Arabidopsis thaliana: one gene and its partners. The protein of the gene in region 1 purifies or fractionates together with the protein of each later gene. This does not show direct contact. Each region holds a gene or a part of one and is shown on either strand. Other genes may lie near its edges.

The links.
Region 2: the proteins of EIF4A-III (region 1) and ALPHA-SNAP2 fractionate together in Arabidopsis thaliana (co-fractionation; one large-scale study listed by BioGRID). This does not show direct contact.
Region 3: the proteins of EIF4A-III (region 1) and ALPHA-SNAP1 fractionate together in Arabidopsis thaliana (co-fractionation; one large-scale study listed by BioGRID). This does not show direct contact.

What each region holds. Positions count from the first base shown.
Region 1 is NC_003074.8:6,860,007-6,868,830, reverse strand, and holds EIF4A-III (eukaryotic initiation factor 4A-III), read right to left. Parts: upstream 5,171-8,824; 5' UTR 5,042-5,170; coding exon 4,734-5,041; intron 4,422-4,733; coding exon 4,100-4,421; intron 3,845-4,099; coding exon 3,737-3,844; intron 3,633-3,736; coding exon 3,513-3,632; intron 3,194-3,512; coding exon 3,026-3,193; intron 2,888-3,025; coding exon 2,801-2,887; intron 2,703-2,800; coding exon 2,589-2,702; 3' UTR 2,185-2,588; downstream 1-2,184. Other genes in the region: VPS9A (Vacuolar sorting protein 9 (VPS9) domain-containing protein), read right to left, coding at 1-688, 813-992, 1,083-1,253, 1,335-1,482, 1,824-1,915; AT3G19740 (P-loop containing nucleoside triphosphate hydrolases superfamily protein), read left to right, coding at 5,901-6,454, 6,544-6,668, 6,788-6,882, 6,976-7,200, 7,548-7,632, 7,885-7,936, 8,404-8,555, 8,680-8,750.
Region 2 is NC_003074.8:20,845,174-20,850,575, reverse strand, and holds ALPHA-SNAP2 (alpha-soluble NSF attachment protein 2), read left to right. Parts: upstream 1-1,880; 5' UTR 1,881-2,219; coding exon 2,220-2,364; intron 2,365-2,816; coding exon 2,817-2,866; intron 2,867-2,952; coding exon 2,953-3,025; intron 3,026-3,120; coding exon 3,121-3,200; intron 3,201-3,431; coding exon 3,432-3,583; intron 3,584-3,813; coding exon 3,814-3,973; intron 3,974-4,070; coding exon 4,071-4,118; intron 4,119-4,206; coding exon 4,207-4,287; intron 4,288-4,376; coding exon 4,377-4,457; 3' UTR 4,458-4,902; downstream 4,903-5,402. Other genes in the region: AT3G56200 (Transmembrane amino acid transporter family protein), read right to left, coding at 1-21, 126-489; AT3G56180 (LURP-one-like protein (DUF567)), read right to left, coding at 5,028-5,162, 5,249-5,402.
Region 3 is NC_003074.8:20,928,813-20,933,369, forward strand, and holds ALPHA-SNAP1 (alpha-soluble NSF attachment protein 1), read left to right. Parts: upstream 1-1,744; coding exon 1,745-2,153; intron 2,154-2,447; coding exon 2,448-2,548; intron 2,549-2,998; coding exon 2,999-3,150; intron 3,151-3,171; exon of another isoform or gene 3,172-3,389; coding exon 3,390-3,540; intron 3,541-3,637; coding exon 3,638-3,685; intron 3,686-3,772; coding exon 3,773-4,057; downstream 4,058-4,557. Other genes in the region: AT3G56460 (GroES-like zinc-binding alcohol dehydrogenase family protein), read right to left, coding at 4,217-4,312, 4,387-4,530.

The DNA.
Region 1 (8,824 bases):
TTTGTACATCTGAAGACGATCTTCTATGATCCTCAGATTCCTTAGACGTATTAAAACCGGACGACGCTTGCAAGGGTGAACTGGATGGAGCTAAAGATGTTCCATCACCCAATCCTTTGGTAAGGCACACATATTTGAAAACGAGCTGTTTATAACTATTTAACAAGCCTTCAACATCTCCTATCCTCAAATCACCAGCACTGGCAAATATGTAAGGATATTCTTGAAAGACTTTGCTTGGCTCGGTATCCTTCAGAAGCGTCGCACCCTTATTTTCCAAATCTGAAATGGATTCAGCTTTCTTCATTGGTGTTTCACTGTTTATATTCAGTAATTCGTTGGTCCCAGAAAGACTATCAGACGATTTTGATTGGAAAAGAGTGTTTTCCCTCTTGGGATTCAGACTTTGAGTTTTCTGAAGAGTGGACTCATCACGAGGGGGTGGTGCAGAGCCATGACCAGTTTGATAAGTCTGGCTGTCCAAACCAGAAATTCGTGCCCGTGCAGATTCCATGTTCTTTTCAAACTCAGCTTCATCCAGTGAAATAGATTTTGCATCAATATTTGAGATGAAAGACTCTGCAGAGAGTATGTTTGTGAAGAAGTACGCAGCTTCACCAACAAGTTTAGATTCACGCCTATACCTTTGTATATACAACAAGTTTGAGTGAAGTTGTGGAGGGTTAGCCTGCAAAAAGAAAGAACAGAATTAGCACTAGTAGATGTTCTTGCACATTCGAAACATAATCATGTACAACAAAAATACGACTTCAGATACCAGTATGCATAAGTTGTTCAATCGTTCCCAATACCTTTATTGTTACATATATCAAAACAGGAAGAAATTCGTCTGCTCCAGGTGCATTCTCGTTTGAAGCAATTGAAGCATTTAGCAGTAAGTTATTAATCACTTTGCAACAGTTAAGGATACACACAAGCTTATCACGAGGAGCTTTGTACATGTTTATCTTCTGGAGCTCTTTTTGAGCTAGCTGCCAAAAGGAGAGAAAGGATCACAAGTAAGAACACTAACAAAAAGAGGAAACACTACCGGGAGCTAGCTTTTGACTAGATCGGCTTACCAGCCATGACGATTCATTTTGAAAAGTTGGTTGTATATCCAAATTCTCGGGAGAAATGAATTGTTGAACCAATGACATCTTCTGAAATAGCTTCTCATCAGCTATAACCTCCTCAGTGTTTGAAGCAAACACCCGAGTAAATAGCTTTGTCATAACATACTTCTCCAGGCCCTGTGTATACAAACGAGCAATGATTATGGTACAAAGATGAAAACAATTCACAGACAGAAAAAGAAGAATACTGATACTCACATCTCCAGCACTATCCAATTCCTCCTCAGAACAACCAGACCAAAGTGGATGAGCCCTGAAAGCAGCCTCCATCTTAGAAAAGAACTCCTGAACCATAGCACAATCTTTTTCCGGGTCTGGTGCATTGTTCGAGAATGAAACAATGAAACTGCAACATCAACCAAAAAACATCCTTAACCACGCATTATCCACAATACTTCTATGCTCAATAAACAAACCATTCCAGTATGAAATCAATAATTTCTAATTGTTATACCCTATTAACAAGATCCAATTGTCTTCCCCAGTAACAGCAATTGAAGAAGCATAAATAAATGATTAGAAATCTCAAATCAGTACGAATTTTGCTCAAATAGTATCATCATCAACTGAAAATGGACTTAAAAACGTAAACCGCTAAGAAGCACATCCACTTAAGCTAAGAGGAAGATCGTACATAGAAACACACACATATATCCGGATCTGCATCAAAAGAGGGAGAAATGGGACCTTTTAATGGATTTGACGAAATCGCCGGCGGAGGGTTTGCGCATCCGCTCCAGGAAATCATGCAGCCCCAAGAAGACGTCCGTATTCTCCATCGCCGATCACCCGATTATCTCCGACGATTGACCAGTGAGAAGAGTAAAGTTAATGAGTTCCGTGTCGCTGACTACCAATAAACAAACAAAACCACGGTCGTTTATTTATTAAGTTCCGGTTATTGGTCCTGGTGTTGTTAAGTTAGTGAATCTAATTCGGTCCTAACCCGGTTTTGGGTTTCGTTCATCAATTTCACCCAACCCATCAACCAACGAGCGAGGACACCTGACTCCGTCAAATGAAACACACGATACGAAAAACCTCGACGTCATGTCCAGTAATTTCATCAACTTGCTTTGCTTTTGCAAATGATTGATTTTTGCAATGATCCAAGCTTTACGAAATAAGATAACAATGAACCGTTTCAACTGTCGAGCAAAAGTCTTACAAGTAGTGATAGTTGAGAGTTTTGACCCACAAACCACAATCAAAGCCCCCAGAATCAATTACGAGGAAACGAAAAACCAAACGGTCCAAACCCTAAACCTAAATCGCTTCTCAAGTCATTAAACATTTACCACACGCGAGTTTAAGTTTGTTCAAAAGAGCCCACAGAAACATCAAAGGAAATACACCGTTAAGATAGTGCAATAATTTGACAGAAGCGCTCAACAATACTTTTTCATCCAGACACTTCCCCGCTGAAAGCACAAAAATCTCAGACAAGCTCTTTTAGATAAGATCAGCTACATTCATTGGCATCTCATCAATCTGGGTACTGTAGTACTGCTCAATGTCTCTGAGAATCTTGATGTCGTCGCTTTTAACAAAGTTGATTGCAACACCCTAGAAAGATAACCGCAAAATTGGTTAAAAGATATCCATCTAGTATCTCCAGGCTAAGAAATTAAGCTCAGAAGCAGAGATTAGAAAAAGTTTCTTACCTTACGCCCGAATCGACCAGACCGCCCAATACGATGGATGTAGAGCTCACGGTTGTTGGGGAGATCATAATTGATAACAAGAGAAACCTGTTAAATAAAGATTGTCATGTCAATTCACCTTTACCATAAGAGAATGGAACATAATCTGAGACCTCAATAACAGAGATTGAATTTATTCCGCGCATTGTTATCTAGACAAAATATAGCGGATAAGTAATGACTTACTTGTTGCACATCAATCCCACGTGCCCATACATCTGTTGTTATCAAAACACGACTATCACCTGACCGAAACTCATTCATGATGGCGTCTCTCTCCTTCTGAGGCATGTCTCCATGCATTGATGAGACAGTGAAGTTGTGACTTCTCATTTTCTCACTAAGATAATCCACCTATAACAAATGCGGAGTTAGAGTTGAGTAAAATATAGAAAAGGAACCATAATTCAAGAACCCTAATTACAAGAAACATTGAAAAAGGTTTTAAAAGCCAATGCAATCTAATAGATATCTGCAGGTGAGTACAGGTTGCAAGTACTCTAGCGCAGTGGACTTATATTGTTAATTTCTTTTAGAAATAAAGAAATACATATATTCACAAGATAGTATGAATTTTTGAGCAATTACAAGATTGCAAATCAAGTTCAGATAGCAGTGCTAGAAGCTTAATGTTAACAAGTTTGAGATACAGTTGCATGAGAACCACAATTACCTTTCGTTTAGTATTGCAGAAGATAACAGCTTGAGTGATAGTAAGCGTGTCATAAAGATCACAGAGTGTATCAAATTTCCACTCTTCCTTCTCAACAGCAACAAAAAATTGTTTGATTCCCTGAAAAGATTGTACACAAAAAGATAGCCAATGAAGAATATGAGTGTCAACCTACTGTAAAAGTAAACATGAACGAGCATACAGAAGCATAAGAAGAAACATACTTCAAGAGTCAACTCATCACGCTTCACAAGTATCTTCACTGGTTCTGTCATAAACTTGGATGTCATCTCCAAAATCTCGTGAGGAAGAGTTGCAGAAACCAAGCAAACCTACAAAAAAAACGTATTAGGATTGAACTATTATAGAGTGGAATTTAGCTGTTCATAATACAGATAATAGCTACCAAATCTACACATAAGACATTCAAGCAACTTAACAGTGGCTAAAAGGTTTTTAACAACTTATAATTCTCTCAATCCACATAGAGTTCAAGAAGCCAATCCATAAAATAAGAAAGCTAATGCAATAACATCCAAAGAAACTAGAAGTTAGCCAACACATAATATTGAGCAGTGAAATTGCACCTGAAGATCTGGTGGAAGATATCTGTAAACATCATAGATCTGGTCCTTGAACCCTCTGCTCAGCATTTCATCTGATTCATCAAGAATCAGAAGTTTAATAGCTCTGGTACGAAGACTTCTCCTCTTTATCATGTCACAGACACGACCAGGTGTCCCAGACACAACATGAACACCATGCTCCAGCTTCCTGATGTCTTCTCCAACACTATTCCCACCGATGCAAGCATGTGCCTGAATATTGGCATGTAATCCAATAGCTTGTATCGTCTTCTCTGTTTGTGTAGCCAGCTCTCTTGTTGGGGATAATATCAAGGCCTGAACCCTGCAGTCCGAGATACCAAATACATGAGTACACATATAAAAAGATCTTGCAGCCTAAAAGAAAGTATTACTCAATCACTCTAACCGAAAAGCTAATAACTATCACAAATTTTCATTGTCATTTTGATTGAACATTAATGAATCATAATTCGTTCATCTATTCTACAAGTCAGACAAACAAATCCCACCAAATTTGTGAAATCGATAAGAAACAAAACCTAATGATTTAGGTTAGAGAACAATCCGAGCAAAGCAAGTAAAGTTCAAAATTGAAATGAAGGGTTTAATCCAGCTAAAGGAACAGAAAACATACTCTCTAGAAGAAGTATCAACGACTTGACAAACGGAGAGAGCAATCATAGATGTCTTCCCGGTACCGGACTGAGCTTGAGCAATAACATCACGTCCTTGAAGAATCGGCATAACAGCCCTCTGCTGAATCGCGGAAGGCTTCTCGAATCCATATTCGTAGACACCGCGAAGCACATCTTCCTTAATGCCCATATCATTGAAGCTCGTGATGGGCTCAATTCCATCGGTAGTCTCGAAGACCAACTTATCGTCATCCATAGCTCCACCGCCTCTTCTACCACCTCCACGGCCAGGATTCGCTGTCGCCATAAATCTCCGTCTAGATTTTTGTTTTTATCTCTCCTAGGGTTTTCGATTGATTTCCCCCAAATGCTTATTTCCTCTCTACAGGTATAGGTTCGAGATAAGCGCGGCTTAAAAATAGGGGTACGATTGTAAATCCGACAACTTGTTAGGGCTTTTTTGTCAGGAAAATACCGACTCTTATATGTTTAGTGGGCCTTTATAGTTAGGCCCATATCCATAGGAAGGCAAGTAGCAATTTTGCGTCAAAACGACAACACTGCATCAACGAAGCTGAACTTCGAACCCAGCTTCAGCTTCAGAAGAAGAACCTACAGACTTTAGATCGGTCTTTATCTCTCTCTCCTCTGTCGGGATTTTCTCTCTCTTCTTCACCCTATCTCGTTCCTAATTACATCTCCTCTTTGCACCAAGCCTGATTCTTAGAGCTTGGGGGATGAATAGAACCAGTTTTGTTGTCCATCTCTGTTAAACGGTTCGTGTTTTGTAATAGTTATGGATGACAAAAGCTGAATATATCATCATTTCTATATCGATGCCTCATATTCGTTGTTACATTGGATTTTCCGTTATGCGTCATAATCGTTCATTTTAATTGATGTCTGTTCTTAATCAATTAATTCCCTGAAGTGTGTTGTTATTCCTCTAGTCGAAATAAATTGTATAGAATCTATGTTTCTTTCCGAGTTACTATAGTATGTTTTGCGTTGATATTGATCTCGTTTTTTTTTTTTTTTAATGGTGCAATTACATGTTGCAATGCATTTAGGTTGGATAGTACAAGAAATGGACCCTGAAAGTGATTCTAAATCAATGATCTCTGTTTTTTTTTTTGTAGTTATATTGGAAGAGAAGGGACTTTGTGATGTATACAAGGGCATTAAAGAGGAACCAGAGATGGGGTTTGGTATTGCAGCAAGCCAAGTACTTAGTTAGGCCAGTCGTTCGTGACTATACGGTTTCCAGATATTGTGGATTCACAAATAAATTAACCAATAGTGAAAATTTGACAAGAAAGTCTCTACTTGGTTCATTTTCTCCCCGCGGTGGTACTATTGCCTCGGGAAATCATTTAAGTATTTTGAAGAATAGCCAGTTGCGTAGTTTTAGTTCTGAGGGTGATGGAAGGAATGCTAGTGAGGATAAACATATCTCTTTGAACAAAGAGAATGGTGTAGATGATGGAAAAACCGGGAAGGAGAAAAGTAATAACGGTGTTGGGCATTTGGATTCTCATGCTCAACTTGGAGAACAAGACCAAATAGAATGGCTCAATAATGAGAAGCTTGCTAGTGAATGCAAAAAGAAGGAGTCACCTTTCGTTAATAGACGAGAAAGATTCAAAAACGAGTTCTTACGGAGAATCCAACCTTGGGAAAAAATACAGCTTTCTTGGGAGACCTTCCCTTACTACATCCAGTAATAATCTACAACATGTTTTTTTTTCTCGCTTGTTGTGTTTCTTTCTCCATTTCTGCTTATGGATTCTGCTCATTATCTTTTCACAGCGACCACACGAAAGATATTTTGGTGGAATGTGTTACCTCACATATAAGACAAAAGAATGCCGCTTCCATATATGGTGCCCGTTTAGATTCTTCAAGTGGAAGAATATTGCTCCAGAGTGTTCCAGGTTTGTTATTGACTATAGAATAAAAATGGCAGACCAGGATTTGATGTTGCTCTTCTGTTATCAAGTAAAAATATTGAGGAAATGTTAGATGACCAATAAGAAATTTGAATTTTATTCAGGTACTGAGCTTTACCGGGAGAGGTTGGTACGAGCACTTGCTCGAGATGTACAAGTTCCCCTGTTGGTTCTTGACAGCAGCGTTCTTGCCCCATATGTGAGATTCTTATGAGTAATTTGCCTATAACATGCCACCATTTTTCTTTCGTTCTTTTTGGTGTTTATGTAATATTTTTTAATTCTGGATCAGGATTTTGCTGATGACTACAATGAAGAATCTGAATCTGATGGTGAGAACGCAGAAGCGGAAGCAGATGAATCCACGACAGAGTCTGATGCTGAGGAAGATTCTAGTGCTCAGAGCGAAGAGGATTCTGAAGCGAAAGCAGATGGGAGTGACAGTGAGGAAGCTTGTCTCGAGGTTTCTGAGGAAGCTATCAAGAAAATTGTGCCAAAACTTGAAGAGTTCGAAAAGGTATGATTGCATTAATTGAGATTCAGAAATTTTAGTCTGTACTGATTGTTCTTTTCCTAATTTAGTTGGTAATACCATGGTATTTCTTTTTCTTTTTGCGATACCCCGTGGACAATGTGATCTTGGGACCCTGTCATATAAGTTTTCTGATTCTTGATTTATCTTATTTGTATGAACTTGTTATTAGAGTTACTATGCATGAATTAGAAGGTTTCACCATTCCTGCCGTTTGAATGCTGTTTCTTGGTTCTACATGCGACTCTTTGCATTGTTCCTTTTTTGAACTTCCAATTAAATTGAGTTTCAGAAATTGCTGAAATTTGCTTACCTCCTCTAAATTGTGGCAGCTAGTAGCAGAAGAACTACATGGTGAAGCTTGCGAAGCAGCAGCTGTTGAGCATTCTGATAAAGCCAGGCGACCGGCAAAGAAAGGTAATCATCAATATCAAGGCTCTGGAAGGCATCTTCATCATTACAAGTGCTAGGTACACTTGAATGTATCAGTTTGCTAAATAAGTTTGATTTAGTAATTTTGTATTCTATCTAGTCATAATTTTCCTGGTATTGTCTTTCTATCTTAGCCTTTCACTCTTTCCTCTTCTACTTGTCAGACTGCTAAGTTCTCTTTGTGTGGTCAATTTTTTCACTTTTCCTCATTTCTATTTGTGTTTACGCTTTTTGCAGGAGATCGTGTAAAATATGTTGGACCTTCTAAGAAGGCTGATGCAAAGCACAGGTAGTTTACTGATTCACTTGTGTGATAATTATTCTCTAACCTTGCTGAAGAATATTACGCTCTAATATCTTTTATGACTCTGTCTCATATTATTTGACTTGATCTCTGCTTGCTCTGCCTATTCATATTAGTAGTAATTTGAGTAGTTCTGGTATAGGATTGGATGTGTATGAAACTGCTGCCACAATTGTTATCTATAGGACTTATTCATTTATTTGTGAACAGTGCAACTCGCATTACCTTTGCTTAACTAAATGACTTGTTTTTGCGTGCTTACCATTATCATCACTATCCATGGTTTTCTCAGCAATTTGACATGCCTGCAAATGTAACATTTGATCTTTTAGGAACACATTTTGAACTCATTGCTCTGGAAGTTATAAACTTCCATGGCATGCTAAATATTATGGATGAAGGATTGTAAATGCCCTAGGGTTTGTCTTTAACCAAAATTTCTATACCTACAGGCCATTATCTAGTGGACAACGTGGAGAGGTCTATGAGGTGAATGGGAATCGTGTTGCAGTCATATTTGACATTGGAGGTGATACATCATCAGAGGGAGGTGACAAGAAATCAACAGAACACTCTCATAAGCTACATATGCACTGGATAGATGGTATATTTAATTCATGGCGTTCTGTATGGTTGATGTGTGATTGCTCTATATTTGGAGAAATACCCTGTTTGTAGACGATTGACATCTTATGTAAATGCAGCTAACTTACATATTGTCTGCGCAGTTGGAGACCTAAAGCATGATTTGGATATGCAGGCAGAAGATGGCTATATCGCCTTGGAGGCTTTAAGTGAGGTATGTGTGGAAGTTACATTATGTTTTCGTGTTTCCATTCAGCTAACGTTGTACATTGGCCTTATATATAAGTT
Region 2 (5,402 bases), about 14 Mb from region 1:
CATTACCAGAAAGCACATCTCCTGAGAGAGTAAACACATACAAATCCAAACTCAGCCAATCTGTTCTTAAGCTCAAATAGTAGCTGAGACCTCTACACTTAGATGATTAGATCAAATTACTTTACCTATAATAATCGAAAATATAATCATACAACCAAAAGTAGCAACCATCGTAGCAATCTGTACAGCGATGGATCCTGTTTTACCAAACGACTCTTTCATAACTCCGGCGTAAGTAGTTGATTCTCCGGCGAGAGTTGATTTCATCAGAAATCCAACGGAAATTGTGGAAAGCCAAGCTATGATCGTGATAATCAAAAACGCTGGAACTATTCCAAGAACTTTAAACGCCGCCGGCATCGACATTATTCCGGCTCCGATTATACTCGTTGACACGTTGAAAACGATGCCGGAGGTTGATGATCCATGGTTCTCAGACGAAGAAGGTTCTTGCTTCGGCAAGAGATGAGTTTTGATCTGTGGTGTCATTTTTCTAACCGCCGGAGAAACGTAAGAATTTGCCGGCGGGAAGAAGCTTTCCTTTTTTGTAGTTGTTATGAGGAATCGGCTTCATATAGCCACACGGTTAATAGCGAAAAGTACATAAATACCCTTTGAAGATTGGGGATATATGCCTTGACCGTTTGGGGCAAAATCGAGAAAATGATATTTGACCATAGGTAAACCTGACAGGCTGGGCAAATCATGTCAGTGAGATCACCAAATGATCTTTCGTCACGTACTTAAAAACATCACGAAAATAATAATTTTGTTCAAGAGAGGAAATTACAGCTAAAATATGATGAACAATCATAATCATATTATAGACAGAAGTGAATTATTAACAAAAAAACCCCAAAGAATTATACAAAAAAATCCAAAATAAAATGGGTCCGTCCAACACTAATGAATGTGTGCACTTGGATTTCTTCACGAAGAATGTATCTAGACGAAAAAGTGGCCAAATGTGTATCATCGCTTCTCATCTCATATAAGTTGTCCAAAAAAGAAAAAAACTCCTAAATAATTTAAAATTTTCGTGGATATAATAAAATCCAATATATAATCATATCATTGGCGGCCTCAAAGATGGCTCACGTGTAATAAACTAACTTTAGAGCAGACGGTTCGAGACTTTTCATCAAGAAAACGAGAGGGCAGCGAATGCGGAATGTCGAATGAATAATTGAAAACGTGATAAACGAAACAATATAAGAATAATTAAACACTGTCTTCTAAAGTTATTTTTATTTAATCATTTCATATGAATCATATTGAAGTTACTCAGTTAACATTATAGAATGTGACTGATAGCAACATTAATATTGCCGCAGAAATCCCTCGTTGCAAAGTTACAGTTTATTTTAGATCATCTCTGTGTGTAAAGGAGAAGCTTCAGTCAACAACAACAGAGCTTGGGTCAAACTCTCTGCTCAGCTCAGAGTCTCCCAAACAGAATGCTATGGGCCAAGACACTAAGCCCAATACCATTCAACATGTCGAGAAGCCCAACAACAGAAGATTACCTCTGCAACTCACAAAAGACAAAAAAATTACCGATTACCCATGAAATGATTTGCTAAAAAATTGAACATTTCATAGATTTGTAACGGTTGTTATTTAGCCATTGTTGTTATTCATGTGTTTGATATTAAAACCGATATTGTTGTTACTCATGTGTTTGATATTAAAACATACTAGGTTTTTACCAGTTTGTGCATTTTGGAACATAGGTTTGTTTAGTGGAAACTGTCAGCAATATTTGTCGTGATTTGAGAACTATAATAATGGCTAATGAAGAATGTAGAAGGACGAGCAGATATAACAGGAAATCGTTTTACTTGATAATTCATGTAAGCTTTTCTTCAATCCCAACTGATAAACCTGATCCCATATTTTCTAAGCTTGGTTAAAGCGACCCAATAACAAAGTACGGAAAAACTTTTGATTGGGCTAACTTGGGCTTTTCAAAACAAAGCCCATATTTTAAATAGACAAATTTGGCCCACTTTAGTCGGTTGAAAAATCTTTTCCCCTATCGAAGCGTGTCTCTGATTTTTCGCTCTCGATCGATTCTCGTCTCTCTCTCTTTCATCGCAGCGAATAATCCAAATCGAAAGCAATTTCTCTCGACGAAGAAAAGAGAAGCAATCGGAGTCTGTGGAGGTAAAGAAGTACACGATCAAATTTCAAGTCAGAGTTTCGGGGAAAAAAAAGGAATGGGGGATCATCTGGTGAGAGCTGAGGAATTCGAGAAGAAAGCTGAGAAAAAGCTCAATGGATGGGGAATATTCGGATCTAAGTACGAGGATGCTGCTGATCTGCTCGAAAAAGCAGCTAATTCCTATAAGCTCGCCAAATCATGTAATTTCCATAAATAAAATTTCTTTGCTTTTGATTATTGTTTCATCGGATTGGTGTCGTGTTTTTTTTTATTGTTGTTCTTTGTGATGATGAGGAAGAAAAAAAAGGTGAAATTTGAAACGTTTGATCTTAGGTTTATCAGTTGCGGTGATTTGTCTATGGTCATGTGAGAAGTAGAATTAGTATCTGGGTTTATATTAGGTCTATTTTGATCTGTAAGAAATTTATGGTTGATAATTTCATACGAAAACATTTTAAATCGGAGATTCATCATTCTGATTCCTTGATATTGGTTTCTGGCCTTCTAGCAAGTCATTGATAAGTGGCACAATTATAGTACCTAATTTGGGTTCTATTTGGCTGAGTTTAATAGGTTTCATGTTCTTTTCTGATATTTGTTTAATTCTCCAACGCTATCTTCTTACTTATGTGTTGCATTTGTGATTGTTCAGGGGATCAAGCTGGAAAAGCTTATCTAAAACTTGCCGACTGTCACTTAAAGGTTAATTCTTTGGCAACACATATATATGATACTGGACTAATGTGTGGATTGTTTGATAACATTGATTTGCATGATTGCATCTGCAGTCAGATAGCAAACATGATGCTGCTAACGCCTATGCTGAGGCTGCTAAATGCTACAAGAAAGTTGACACTAATGGTATGTATAAAGCTACTTTTGTAATTGTCATCTCTGTAATGCAAGAGTGATTATGAATTCTTATGTGTTTTCATGCGTCCTAATATTATATGCAGAGGCTGCGTCTTGCCTAGAGCGAGCGGTGAATATATTTTGTGAGATAGGAAGGCTCAACATGGCTGCAAGATATTACAAGGTACCACTTGTCTCTTTTGAGCATGAATTAGATATTATTCTTTTAGTACGGATACTGAGAAGATAGTTTTATTGGGGCACTTCTTCTGTATTTCCTCCATGGTTCCTGTTTCTTTATGCATGTTCAGTCGGATTCAGATTGTCTTTTTCCTTTTCTAAACTAAAGTAAGCATGGTGCTGACTTGCTGTATTTGGACTAATTTGTACATTAATGGTTTTTTACTTTTGACAGGAAATTGCTGAGTATTATGAATCTGATCAGAAGTTCGAGCAGGCTATTGCTTACTTTGAAAAGGCAGCTGAATTCTTTCAGAATGAAGAAGTGACCACTTCTGCAAACCAGTGCAATCTAAAGGTTGCGCAATATGCCGCCCAGCTGGAGCAGTAAGATTTTCGGCACATTACCTTTCTTTTTGCTTTCTCATCCCTTAGCATTGAAGTGCTTATAGTACTCAGATGGAACCCTGTTAAAATCGAATTGTCAATCCACAAACTTGTCATTGTATGGAATTGTGATGTTCTCTATGCAGTATGCATGAGCACAGCAATTATAGCCTTTTCTCTACTTTGGGACCGATTGATTGATAATAGGCTTGTTGTTGTATCTTTGGTAGGTATGAGAAGGCAATCAAGATTTATGAAGACATAGCACGCCATTCACTCAACAATAACTTGCTCAAGTATGGAGTTAAGGGCCATCTTCTCACTGCTGGCATGTGCCACTTATGCAAAGCCGATGTTGTTTCCATCACTAACGCTCTGGAGAAGTATCAGGTTCTTCTTCTTCCACAACAAACACCCGTAACATAAACATTCTGGTGTGGTCCTTTGAGCAACTATGACATGTTTTCTAACTTCTACTTTCTTGCAGGATCTGGATCCAACTTTTACTGGAACACGGGAATGCAAGTTCTTAGCGGTAAAGTTTAAACTTCCGTTTTTTCAAGAAGTTGTGGAGCAGCTTACATAAAGTATGTTAAGTTTTGTACATTTATTCATATGAACAGGACCTTGCTTCTGCTATCGATGAAGAAGACATCGCAAAGTTCACAGATGTTGTCAAGGAGTTTGATAGCATGACTCCACTGGTATGGGCTGTAAACCATATACAGCTATTTGAATAAAATCTCTCTTTAACTCTACCTGGTTCTTGATCATGGAATTGGTGTTAATGCAGGATTCATGGAAGACAACCATGTTGTTGAGGGTGAAGGAGAAGCTCAAGGCCAAGGAGCTAGAGGAGGATGACCTTACATAGACATATTTATCCAGAGCGTTGCTTTTTATTCATTCCCGGGTTGTATTGTCACTATGTCCGTTACTTCATGTCCGACTCTTCTTTGATTTTATTGTGTCTGGTTTTGAGTTTTAAAGTTTCTTAAGAGGTTTGGTCAAATTGGGTTTGTTTGGTATCGACGTCTACAATTGTTCTCTGCGTCTCGTCACTTCATTTATGGGAACTACTCAAGTCTGGAGTTTTTTTTATATTGGTTAAACATCTGTGGAGAGTCTTCTTCGTTCAGCGATTATTTGATGCATCGAGAGGATCATGTCTCGATTATTTGTTTGCTTTTACGTCTACATCTATCTAATAAACGTGTGCTTTTTCTTCCTGTTAACGACAATTTGTAGTGTTTTGATTCATGTTTTCTTGCTCTATATATCTTTGATTGCACGCTTTTATGAAAAATAAACATTTGGGCCAGCAAGATTGCACATTACATGGAAAAAATATTCTTACATACATATATCTTGAGAAATGAACACATATACACCAATAAATTGTGAAAGGAACCACTAAACAAAGAGATTGAGGACAGACAATATACTAACACCAATTCTCGTTGTCATCGACCATGACAAGCAAAGCAATGATAAAAGCATAATCAACCTCTGGATTTACTCTCACCTTAAAGTTATATTTCCCTTTGCAGAAACTTCCCCATGTAAACTTATGTGTTACCTGCAATATAAGGATTTCAATCCTTCACCAATGTATAAAAATTGCAAATTTCTTAATAAGTATGGGTTTTTAACTTTTACCCCTACCCCGGCGATGAGAGCATCCGCTTTGAAAACTTTGAATGAGATATTGGAGTATCCTCCTGAAGCATGAAAATCACAAGTGTTTGTCTTCTTGACATTGTTGTTCTCCGGCAAGAAAACATCCACGGATGTTTTCAGTGAAACCGCTTGAGATTGT
Region 3 (4,557 bases), about 14 Mb from region 1:
GGTTTGAGTTTTATGTACATAACAATTGGCTCTGTATATAGATTTGGTGAAACCGCATACGATTTTATTCTTCCAAGCTTTACTTGATTGAAGGAAAATGTATTCTTGATTGGAACAATGTATATACAAAAAGGATTTTTTTTTGGTTATAACACTAATTTCTACAGAGAATCAAACTGCAATTCGATTACGTTTATTAAAATTTCAAATCAGAATGTTGATTATAGGACAGATATAACAAATGCAAGATGGTTCAGCTTACATGGTCATTTCAAGGTTACAGAACCGGATTTCTCCATTTAATTTAAAGACTTATACATTTAATTATTAATATTTAGTAACTTTAATTTTATAGAGACAATATAGAAAATTATGCAATGGAGATGCTTTAAAAGTATTAGGTGCCAGAGTTAAAAAAAAAAAAAAAGTATTAGGTGCCTTGTCGTCACCAGATTCCATTGGATTTTACGACTTTTTGTTAAACTCACAAGTCGCTAGCTTGTGGTTTAAGCAATCTTTTTTTTTTTATATAAAATTTACATATATTAAAAATTTTATGTGGTTTTTTTTTACATAATAGTTAATGATGCATTAAATTTAAGCAATTTTAATGATGCATTGATTTTATTAATTCCCCTTGCTCAAAATACTTTCTATGGTGTGATTAACACAAATTATATTATTATTCTTTTAGAAATTTTTGCTTGTAAATGCTAGTTTTGATTGCATTATTATTCTTTTTTCTTTTACGTCATTTACGAGAATTTTCAATTTTGTTTTATCAAAAATTTCTAATTGAATATTTGATGTTGCACATAAACTGACCGTGATACATGTGCTTGTTCTGTATATAGATTTGTTGAAATAACACTAGAGTATGCTACCAATGTTACGGATCACGGTCTCCAAGCAATTGGTAAAGGATGCAAAGAATTAAAACATCTTGAAATACTAAACTGTCCTGTTAGTAAAACAGGTCTTATAGAAGCAGGCGAGAGCTCTTCTTCCATTAGATATCTTTACGCATCAGGTAATAAAGATGGAAAGGAAGGAGGAGTGCAATCTTTTGCACAAAATAATGATAATATATTTTCTTTTCATTTGTTGTTAAGATTCTCCGAGATCTTCTCGAGATCTTTTTTGGAAATACGATAAGATAGGCTGAATAATTCTTATTCTGAAATTTTTTGGTAATGCGAAACCTTTGTTTTATATGTTCAAGAAGAAAAGAAATATTAAGAATTTTTTTTTTGTTCAGTCACACAACTTTAGAACAAAATTATGTTAATAATTTTCTTCATTTTAAATCCAAAACTTCAAAAGTTAGAAAACATATGAAGTAAAATAAAATAAAATGTGCTAAGCTATAAATTGATTTTAGTTTACATAACAAATTCTAATTGAAACTTATTTTTTTATATCGTCAAAAAACAACAACTAAATTCTGAAAAAATATCAAAAACTCCAATTTGGAAAGTATAAATTACAAACTAACTTGTTTTATTTTATGTTTTAATATAATAGTTTAGTTGGTTTAATAATAGTAAGTGTTATTTTATTATTTTTTAAAAGGGAAGGGTTTAAAAACCCACCAAAAAATCCCTTAAATGGATGCTTAAAAATCTCTGGTCGCGGGCTTAGCCCCAGTAGACTAGTTAGATCACTGTGTGGTCTGGGCATTGAGTTATCAAAGAAAAAAAGGGAAGGGTTTAAAAACCCACCAAAAAAGTTGAGGGTTTTGTACATGTTTTTTGTAAAAGGTGAGGGTTTTTTTTACCCACTTTTCATAGAGCTGAGGAACTTGATAAGATATCAAACAACAAGAGTCTCCAACTCAAGCAGAGACTTCAATCTCTCACAACAACACTGCAGCTGTTTCAGGCCCAAAAGGAGACACGAAGCCCATCTCTCATTCATCGGAACTCTGCAATACTCAAAACAGAGAACCATCACGCGAGCCGCTTCAGCTACCATCGCTCGCCGCCAACTCTTGTTGTTGTTTGATATCACTTTCTCTTCTTCAAGCAGTTGCTACTACTTTCAGAAGAAAGCTGAGAAGAAGCTTAACAGACGGAGAAGATTCGACACTAAGTACGAGGATGCTGCTGATCTGCTCGAGAAAGCACGTGATTCCTATAAGCTTGCCAAATCATGTAATTTCCATAAATAATAATCAGCCGGCCTTGATTTTTGTTTCATCTGATTGATTTGTGATGATGATGAGGAAGAAAAGGTGAAACTTGAGACTTTTGATTGATCTTTGGTTTAGCAATTGTGGTGATCCTTCCATGGTGTTGTGAGAAGTTGATTTTAGGCCTCTTTGATATGTGGGAATTATAAATTGGATACTCAACATTTAGATTACTCGATAATGATGGTTTTTGGCCTTATAGTAAAGTCATTGATAAGTATCTTCTTGCTTATGTGTTTGATTTGTGATTCTTCAGGGGATCAAGCTGGAATAGCTTATCTAAAACTTGCCGATTGTCACTTAAAGGCAAATTCTTTGGCAAACACATATATGATAATGGACGAATGTATGGATCATGTAGCAACAGCTTTTTAGATTTTAATTGACATATATGTACTACAGGACTGATTATCAACTCTTGTGTGTTTTCCTTTCGCTATGCATGTTTATCGCGTCCAAATATAACCATGACCTTATTATATGCAGAGGCTGCATCTTGTCTAGAGAGAGCGGCGAATATATTTTGTGAGATAGATAGTAAGGCTCAACATGGCTGCAAGATATTACAATGTACTACATGTCTCTTTTGAGTATGAATTAGATACTGTTACTCTTTTAGTACGGATAGTGAGAAGATAGTTTTATTGAGGGGGAGGCACTTCTTCAGCATCTTCTCCATGGTTCGTGTTGTTTATGCATGTTGGATCCTGTCGGATTTGTTTCTTTTTTTCTACAGTATATATAGTAAGCTTGGTACTGACTTTCTGTATTTGTACTAATGTGTACATTGTCATTTACTTTTGACAGGAAATTGCTGAGTATTATGAATCTGATGAGATGTTCGAGCAAGCTATTGCTTACTATGAAACGGCAGCTGAATTCTTTCAAATAGAAGAAGTGACCACCTCTGCAAACCAGTGCAATCTAAAGGTTGCACAATATGCTTCCCAGCTAGAGCAGTAAGATTTTCGGCACCTGACCTTTTTTTGGCTTTCTCATCCTCTGGTATTGACGTACTTACAGTACTGAGATGGGACCATGTTAAAATCGAATTTTCAAACCACAAATTTGACATTGTTTGGAATAATGTTGTTGTTCTCTACACATGAGCACATGGATTATAGCCCCTTCTCTACTTTGGGGCGGATTGATTGATTGATAATAGGCTTGCTGTTGTATCTTTGATAGGTATGAGAAGGCAATCCAGATTTATGAAGACACAGGCACGCCATTCACTCAACAATAAGTTGCTTAAGTATGGAGTTAAAGGCCATCTTCTCACTGCTGGCATGTGCCACTTATGCAAAGCTGATGTTGTTTCCATCACTAATGCACTGGAGAAATATCAGGTTCTTCTTCTTCCACAGCAAACAGCCTTAACATCAGCATCCTGGCGTGGTCCTTTGAGTAACTATGACATGTGTTCTAACTTGTACTTTCTTGCAGGATCTGGATCCGACTTTTTCAGGAACACGGGAATGCAAGTTCTTAGCGGTAAAGTTTAAACTCTGGTGTTGTAAGAAATTGGGGAGTAGCTTACATAAAGTATGTTAAGTGTTGTACATTTATTCTCATGAACAGGACCTTGCTTCTGCTATCGATGAAGAAGACATTGCAAAGTTCACAGACGTTTCCAAGGAAATTGATAGCGTGAGTCCACTGGTATGGGCAGTAAACCACATGCAACTATTTGGATGTAAACTCTGTCTGGTTCTTGATCATGACAACAATGTTGTTGAGGGTAAAAGAGAAGTTCAAGGCCAGGGAGCTGGAGGAGGATGCAAGCTTTACTTGATTGAAGGAAAATGTATTCTTGATTGGAACAATGTATATACAAAAAGGATTTATAACTACACTAATTTCTAGAGAAAATCAAACTGCAATTCGATAACGTTTATTGAAATTTCAAATCAGAATGTGGATTATATGCCAGATATAAATGCAAGATGGTTCAGCTTACATGGCCATTGCAATAACCTTATTTCTAGAATACATAAGCTGTTTTCTCCTACGGCCATAAAGAGTCTATAGTTTTGAAGACAGGGCAGTCTTGTGGTCGAGAGCAATCATCACTTTTCCAATTGCCTTCCTGTCTTTGAGGTCCCCGAATGCAAGATTGGCCTGTAATCAAAACGGTAAGTGTTTAATTACATGTTTTGAGTTTTGATGTCATGAAGATGAGTTAATGTTTTCACCTGGGAGAGGCTATAGGTATGAGAGATGTGAATAGTGATCAATCCTCGGGAAAGCCATGACAATAACTCTTTGATGGAATCTTCAAGGACATTGGGCTGATGGATCCTGTAGCTACCCCAGTAAAGACCATGAACCGTCCAGTTCTGCACCAATTGGTTACTACAACTTAT